Rattus norvegicus: one gene and its partner. The protein of the gene in region 1 purifies or fractionates together with the protein of each later gene. This does not show direct contact. Links are inferred from orthologs where the notes say so. Each region holds a gene or a part of one and is shown on either strand. Other genes may lie near its edges.

The links.
Region 2: the proteins of Phf19 (region 1) and Ezh2 purify together in Homo sapiens (affinity purification with mass spectrometry; 10 studies listed by BioGRID and IntAct, counting the BioPlex papers as one, with this or other methods). This does not show direct contact. The link is inferred for Rattus norvegicus from reciprocal best matches to the Homo sapiens genes PHF19 and EZH2.

What each region holds. Positions count from the first base shown.
Region 1 is NC_086021.1:38,576,652-38,580,458, forward strand, and holds part of Phf19 (PHD finger protein 19), read right to left. Parts: intron 3,710-3,807; coding exon 3,642-3,709; intron 2,147-3,641; coding exon 1,985-2,146; intron 1,468-1,984; coding exon 1,380-1,467; intron 635-1,379; coding exon 549-634; intron 1-548.
Region 2 is NC_086022.1:77,684,308-77,688,914, forward strand, and holds the start of Ezh2 (histone-lysine N-methyltransferase EZH2), read right to left. Parts: upstream 2,877-4,607; 5' UTR 2,738-2,876; intron 2,724-2,737; exon of another isoform or gene 2,545-2,723; intron 2,465-2,544; exon of another isoform or gene 1,597-2,464; intron 1-1,596. UniProt on the Homo sapiens protein: Polycomb group (PcG) protein. Catalytic subunit of the PRC2/EED-EZH2 complex, which methylates 'Lys-9' (H3K9me) and 'Lys-27' (H3K27me) of histone H3, leading to transcriptional repression of the affected target gene.

The DNA of each region.
Region 1 (3,807 bases):
GCTGCAGGGTTAGAACTGGCGAGCATGGCCTAGAGCTCCCATCTGACTCTAAATCCCTCCCCTTCCTGATCCGGGACCAAAACAGAGTTGTCTTCGAGAGTCGAATGATAAAAGATGACATTCTTGCCCCTCAAATACCCAAATGTGACGATTTCATATTCATATGAGCAGATACAGCAGTTTTCCAACACAGCTGGGAGGATCCACGAGGGCTTCCCGGAGCAATATTCTGAGTTTTTGGCTCGGGGAGGGCAGGGCACAGGGTGGTTCAGGAAGAGGGCTTAGTATAAACACAGAACAGGATGGCCATAGCCCTTCCGGTCTTAGATGTGAGGCAGGGGAGTGGCAGGTCTGCAGGCAAGTCAGCCCAGACCACTGCTTTTGTGGGGCAGAGGGTGTTATGCCACAAGCTGTAGTGAATAAAATTCTCAGGCAGCCCTGTGCATATAGAACCTTTCAGCTGAAGTTTCAGAAGGTCCATGAGGGGCGTGTCCTTCATGCTGGGGAGTAGAGCCCCTCCTTACTGTCAGTTCTGGAATAGCAGGTACCTTTTTAAACTCTGAATTTCATCCAGTGTAAAGTCGAATATGCTGGCCAGGTGGTGGTCCGTGCTCCAGGCTGAGGTGAAGTCACTCTGTGGACACAACAGAGACAGGGTCAGTCAACAGACGGACCAACAGACCTACCTCTCCCCAAGCAGCCTTTCTCCCATCTGAGGGGTGTATGGGCGCCTGCTGTTCAGCCAGGGCCATGAGGGCTTAGGGAAATCCTGCCACTTCCTCTGGACTCTGAACTGTGGACAGAGAGCTAAGTCACCATGGTGTCTAGTCCTGACTTCTTCTCCAAGCCGCCTGATTTCTCGTTTGCCTCTCTGGGTCTTAGCTGCCTCCATTTGCAAAATGGGAATGACTGAGAGCCTGCTTTACTGGGGGCCACAGGAAGAAGCTAGGACTCCATTGTGGCTGTGAAAGTGCGGAGTGCAGAGGCACCGTTAACACTACCATCCACAAGGAGGCTCTCAGTAAGGATAATCGAAGAAGGAAAATATGTTCTGAGACCTGGTTCTAGGCTGGGCTCAGTCAATGCCTTCAACATCCCATCTAGAAAGCGCTGCCCCCACACCCTAGCCCCGTTTGGCCCAGACTGGAACTGGGATATTATCTAACCCTGCCCTAACCCATGTTCTCAGGAGAACTTGTGGGTGATGAGACCCCAATAGCAGTCTTAGGGTGCCTGACAATCCTTGTTTTTCTGTAATTGGCAGTGGGATATTGGGGCACCCCTTTGGGTCGGGGCCAGTGCGTTATTTTCTGCATAGGGCCCCTAACATGTGCGGCCCTTGCATGTGAAACTGGAGAATAAGAAAACCAGGAACTAACACTGGGAATAGCATCTTCCAGCAAAAACTTTGATCTTTTTCTTCTATAAACTCGCCTTTTCTGCTGCTGGGATTCCTGAGGCAACAAACTGTGGAGACAGAAAAGGGAGAGGGCGGCCTGTCAGAGCCCCAGTCAGAGCTGAGGGCAGCGGCAGTATGGGATCAGGAGGGTTTGGGCAGGGTAGAGTGAGCCTGGGAGGAGGCCATCCTCCGGGAGCAGTGAATGTGGAGGGGCTTTAGAGAGTAGAAAAATGAGAGGTGCCTCCTTGCCCCAGTGCCCCTAGAGACGAGGCTCGCCCAGCCCTTGACACTTCCCTCATGCTCTGCTGCTGCCGCTGCCCAGTCCTAGTGCAGCAGGGCTGGGTCCCAGCATCAGTCTTCCTGGAGCTAGGAAGTGAGGGGCCTGTGGTGAGAGGGACCCCAGAGCTTCTCACTAGCACTCCCAGAGTGCCTATAGCTGGACCCTGCTGGGTCTAGGACTCCGGGTTTACAGGGATGCTGCCACACTGCCTGAGCCCACCACATAGCTTCTACCATCTGCGGGAGGTGGGAGCTTAGGCAGAGAACCCAAGCTCGCTGCAGCCACTGTCCCCCACCAGCACTGACCCAGGCTTGCTCTTTCCTCTCTTACGAAGCAGCTCAAAGGTCCCTTTGTCACTTGGCATCTGTGCCCTGTCCGGAAGCAGTTTTCCTGGAGGGGCGGGCGGGACACGGACGCGCAGTCGGAAGATGCATTTCTTCTTCTTAATCTCCTTGCCACACAGGAACCTGGGGTGACAGGAGAGAGGCTTGGGCTGTCAGCTGATCCTCCAGAGAGTGAAGCAGATTGCCACCAAGGCCGGGGGCCTCCCTGCCCTGAGAATGAATCCACAGTCTCCAGTTGGAGAATGTGACCAAGCACCTCCCTGTCCTTGCCTGCTGAACGTATTCTATCCTTGCTCTTCCTTGAGGCTTCTTAGCCTTGGCCAGCTGCAAGGCCACCAGGTACAGCATAGGACAGAACTCTCAGGACCCAGGTACTGGTGCCAGTTCTTCATGTTCTTTGGCCAGGAAGCACCTCCGGGCACATCTCCTATTTCAACACTGGCTGAATGAGGCCCTGGGGCTGTGGAGGGTGTTCAAGCCTTGGCCTGTTCTCAGGAAACTGAGCACTGGGAGGTCACAGGATCTCAAGCTCAAGGGGAGGTCTTGCTGCACCTCAAACCACAGGAAGGTATAAGCATGTTATCCTACAAGAGGCTTCAGGCAAGCTTCCACAGAAGCAGGGGCTGTATCTCATAGCTGAGAATCTCTCCATAGCGCAGAATCTACCTAGACTGGTCTGTTACAGAGCCTGTAACTAGACTTGCTGCCAAAAACTGAATGGAGGTGGGGAAAACAAGAGGCCGAGGGAAGGACAGTGCTCAGTACATGGGATGTGGTGGTGCATACTTGTTAACTCAGCATGGAAGAGGCTGAGGCAGGGGAATCAACAGTTTGAACCTGGGCCAGAGTGAAACCCTATCTCAAAAACCAACCACCCAGCCAGCCAACCAGCCAACCAGCCAACCAACCAGCCAGTCAGCCAGCCAACCAGCCCACCAGCCCACCAGCCCACCAGCCAACCAACCAACCAGCCAACCAGCCAACCAGCCAACCAGCCAACCAGCCAACCAGCCAACTAACCAACCAGCCAACCAGCCAACTAACCAACTAACCAACCAGCCAACCAGCCAACTAACCAACCAGCCAACCAGCCAACCAGCCAACCAGCCAACCAGTCAACCAACCAACCAGCCCACCAGCCAACCAGCCAACCAGCCCACCAGCCAACCAGCCAACCAACAAATGAATAGGAAGCCAAGGGCTGAGCTTGGCTGGCTGACACCCAGAATCTATAACAGTGTAAAATGAAGACAAGGAGGGTTGTGTCATAAAAGGTCTTGAACATGGCTGAGGGACAAGTGTGTGCTAAAACATGGGATGGGAAGGCACAGGCTAGGGAAGTAGCCCAGAGGTGGAAGCCCTGACTGATGGTTTTCCAGGTTCTCTATCTGGCTGGGCCATAGAATGGATGCTAACATACAACTGAGTCAAGGCCCTGGGTGCTTGGGAAGGCTCTGCAAAGGAAGGCCTCTAGATGTCTTTACTCCCTGGATGGTGGACAAGAAGGAAGGAAAGCCAGGCAGGGAGCACAACTTAAACACAGGACTTATGGTAGGAAGAGCCTTTAGATTGAAATCCCAGCAAGGACTCACAGCTCTTCCTCTTTTCTTGCACTCACCGGCTTTTGTAACTGTTGAGAGCGTTGAGGAGATGCGGCCCTCGCTCTGTCACAGGGGTGCTCGTGAGCTGCGGGGAGCAGGTGAGCAGGAGTTAGCTGTACAGGAGTATCTAAGACACTCCTGGCCTGATCCCGCCACCCCATCTCATGCTCCAGTGGCCTCCAG
Region 2 (4,607 bases), on another chromosome or scaffold:
AAACAAGTGAACAATTTGATATATGCTATAATAAAAGCATGAACAAAACCCTGGGAGTGTCTGAGAATTCTGGAACAGCATCTCTAAAATAAAACACACAATCTGATGGACATTTCTCTGAATATAGTGCATTGTTCTTTCTACCCATGCTCCACCGTACGTGAAGATTTTACCAAACTATAACTACTATGGAATTTACAGAAAAAGTCACCATCTATACTGACATAAAGACTTCAAAGCTAATCTATAAACCATTTCTAATTAGCCCATAAATCATTGTATCAGCAGAGAATTTTTCCTTGTTTTTTTTTAAAGCAAATCAACTTTCTTCACTAGTATTTAAAGGCTAATGATGAAATAAATCTAAACTTCTTAAGCATATGACCTCAAAGAATAAAGGACACCGTAAAGCAAACGAATTTTGGTATGATTTGGGAAATCTGACTAAAACCTTTACATAGCCAACACAAAAATAATCACATGTATCCATGTAAGAGAAAACCAGTACCAAAAACTACACAACTATCTAACTACACAAGTCAACAAGTGGCTTTTTCTATCACTATTTAGACTGTCTAAATATACTCTCATTTCTATCAAAACATAACGCAGAATTTTCAACCAATTCCTCAATGAGATTTTAGGAAATATATGTGGCAAGTACAAAATAGCAAATATCAACTAGAGGACAAATCACATATTCTGGCAAAACTGGAATTTTTAAATTCTACACACCCAAGTTTCTACCCAAATTCTATACAACTAGCTCACCTCATAATGAATGAGATTATCAATAGGACTTTAATGTAAATATAAACCTTATGTTACAACCTCAACATTCAGAGCAACACCTAGAATGTCTGTTCCAAGATGCTCCTAAATCCTAAGCAACAGAAATTTGAACTGCATTTCTTTGTCTCCATTCATATGAAGCCGTAAATTAGCAGATTTACTTTAGGTCTTCATTAGATGAAACAGTGCAATTGAAGAGTCTGGTTTTTTTCTTTCATTCTTTTTTTTTTAAAGAAATATATTCAAGACCCATCAAAATAAAAATTTAGGATGCAATTTTTCTAAGTGTTTCTGGGACTTTAAGCATTTCATTCCCTAATACACCTCTCCAAAGAGAAAAAGCAGGATTCTTTTCGTTTAAGACCAGAATCCAACCCATTTCCAACTTAAAAGAACAAGAACAGGAAATTAAATATAACCTAAATATTTCCACATACTTGCAAGTAAAATTATGAGACTTTTATTTCTAAATATGAATTCACTGCTAATGTTCATTAGTGAAAATAGAAAATAAATTTTGAAATCGCCAAAAATATAAACTACATTCAACTGTGACAGCATTAGTATTTTTCAAATGTTTTATGTGCCATTAAAAACCCATAAAATTAAAATGATAACGACTTTCCTGAAATTGAAATGGTGTTGTATCATTGTTGTACGGTATTTGAAATATCAAAGACAAATTTTTACTTCAGATGAATTTGGATTCTACAAATCCTATGTTAATAAACAAAGGAAGTTTCTTTGAATTGTGACCAGAATACACTCGAATTTCTTAGGCAACAAACGTCTTTTCTGACTCACCAAAGCTTTTGTTCACTGGAAACATGACCCACTAAAAAGAAACTGTCAGTCCTTCAGCGTAAACCCACATTTCTCGTGGGTATTTTATTTCGATCATCTACTTCTATCATCTCTTCCACAACCAACCCCTAGAGATTTGGGGAATAATCACTGAATAAATGACAGTTGATTTCGTTAGCACCTGTCGCCGTTCTCAGAAGCTCATAAGTTGGCCAAAACAGTCCGTAATTTTTTTAAAATTTTGATCCTTTAAAACGTAGAACTCACAAGACGTTCACCAAGTTTTCCGAAAGCCCGTGCTTTCTCAGTTTCTCCCATTTTCAAAAAGTAGCCCTGCAGCATACATCTGGTGCGTGCGGGGGGAGGGGGAGGTTGTACAATGAAGTGAGAGAAGGGAGCACAGCTGGACTCTTCCATCGAACTTAGCACAAAGCCAGGCGAGGACATTGGCAGCCCGAAGCTGTGGGAGACTCCCGGCTCTCGGGGAAATGTCAGCCGCGGGGCTAAGGGAGTTCCCAACATCGTTCATGCAGTCCCGCAGCAGCAAGGCCAGGCGTTAGTCGGTCGCCCCCCAGCAGGGCCAGGCAAGGACGAGCCCTGCCCACTCGCGTTCGCGTCGCGCCTCCCCACGCCCCAACCCGCGCGGCGGGAGCCGAGTGTCGCCGTCTCCCCTCCCCTCCCGAGACACAGTCTGTCCTTTGTCTGAGTGCAGACTCTCGACTCGGTCCCACCAACTTGTGTGTACGTCCCGTCCTACCCGGGCGCTCCCAGCCACACAAAGGAGACTTGAGGCTTAGAGCTGCCGGCCCGGATCGGCCACAGGAACGCCCCCAGCCCCGGCCCGGCGGGAACAGGCTCCGGGACAGAAGCCCCCACCACCGGCCCCCGCTCTCCCACATCTGCCGGAATCCACAGTCCACTCCTGGGACCTCGTGGACCTGCCCGCACCTCATGACCCCTCGGAAAGCTGTCTCCTAGCCCTCCCTCCGCGCCTACAAAAGCAGCGCTCGAGTGAGACCCGCTGGGCGATGCCTGAGACTGGCCAGGCACTCGCGCGGAGGTCCCGCGGTCGCCGCCGCCGCCCCGGGGCGCGTTCCAGATCCCTGACTGCCGACCACCGGCGGCTGACGGCGTGCATTACCTTCGTCCCGCGCGCCAGCCCGCGCTTCTCCCGCGCGCCGCCCCAACGCGCCGCCGCCGCCGCCGCCGCCGGGACTCCACTGCCTTCGATGTCCCACTGGGTGTCGGACGCGACCGGACCGAGCGCCAAACGCAGCAGCCCAATCGTCATCGCTTTTATTTGGCCCCCCCAGCACTATCAAGCGCCGCCCCGATTGGAGGATGCGAGAGGGCGCCCGTCCAATCAGAGGGCCGGATGAGCTGTGAGCCTTCCAAGCGAGCCCCAGCCCAGGGACAGGGAGGCTCGCCGGCGCCAGCGCGTGCGCGAGTGTCAGGGCTCGTTCTGAGGAACGCGGCTAACCGGGTGGAAGCTCCACAGTCTCTGTCTTTGTTCTTTTGCCAACGTGCGGTACCCTCTCAGGAAAGCCATGGACAGGCAGGCGGAGATCGGGCACTTGGCGGGACCCGAAGCCCGTTATGGGCAGGAGGCGGGGAGGTCGGGATGGCGGGAACCGGCCGGGGGGCGGGCCAGCTCTTGGCGGGAATGGGCTCTTGAGTAGTTCTCGGGAGGGGGAGGGGAAGAGAAGGGCGGGCGCCAGAGCCAAGTTTGAAATAATTCAAAACTCGGGTTGGTAACGGTCTTAACCGCCCTCTTCCCCTGGCGTGCCATTCTGGGCCCGGAATCCAACACTCTTGTTGGCGACACGGACAGAAAGGCGCGTGGCGGGCCCCACGGGGGACTCAATGCGGGACGGGCCGCGCTCCACATGGAGAGGACCAGTAAGCAGAGAAAGTTAGTGCGGTTCCTTTTGGCACCTTGGAGGCTTTGGTTAGCAAAACTAGTGCCTAATGCCCTGACAGCATAGGAAAAAGCGACCAGATTTCTCTGAAAGGCCTTCCAATCTATGTTTATGGTTCTCAGCACTTATCAAGGTTTCAAGTTGTTTATTAGCAACTTTTGAGAGCAGATAGCTCAGTCCCTGTTGTCTCAGCAAAGTGTAAGGAAGTTTGCAACATTTTTCAATGGCTAGACTATCTTGAAAGTCAACCTTTCCCCTCCTCGAGGACTAGAAATGTGCTTCTTATACAATACACAGCACCCACACACACACCCTGGTTTCAGTTATCTGGCAATGAAGTGAATAATGATATTTCAAATTTACTTCTAATAAGATGCATCTGTATGGCAAACTAACAGACCTGCGAAAACAGGTTCAACAATGAAGAATTAACACTGAGAATTTGTAACACTCTAGAAGTTATGTATCTGTATTGGTCATGGTTCTCTAGAGGAACAGGCTGAATGAATGTATGAATGTATTCATTCCTTCACTGATTAAATGGATAGAGAACGGAGAATGAATATATATGTATATAGATATTCAGAATATATATAGAGAGAGGGAATATATACATATTCTTTCACTGGTATTCGAGCACATCCAGGCTTGTAGACTGAACAACTAGCAGATTCTTGGGTTTTCTGTTGGTAGACAGTCATTGCTTGACTAGTTGGACCACAACCTGTAAGCCACTCTAATATACTTGTGTGTGTGTGTGTGTGTGTGTGTGTGTGTGTGTGTGTGTGTAAATGGAAAAGTCAAAATCCACTAGTTCAGTCCATAAGCTGGGATGACTTCAGCTGAATTCATTATACACCTGAAATTCATTATACATTATACAATGGTTGTAATGCCAATGAACGAATGGGCTTGCCATCTAGAGTGAGGGCAAGCAGTTGCAGCTTCCCACCTAAAAAGATCTGAATTAAAAGTCAAATGATTTAATTAAGAAAAAAGCCATCACAGGTGTACCCTTAGTTTTTAGTTAATTCTTGGGTTTTAGTTAATTCCAGATGTAGTCAACTTGACAACCAAGAATAGCCATCACAG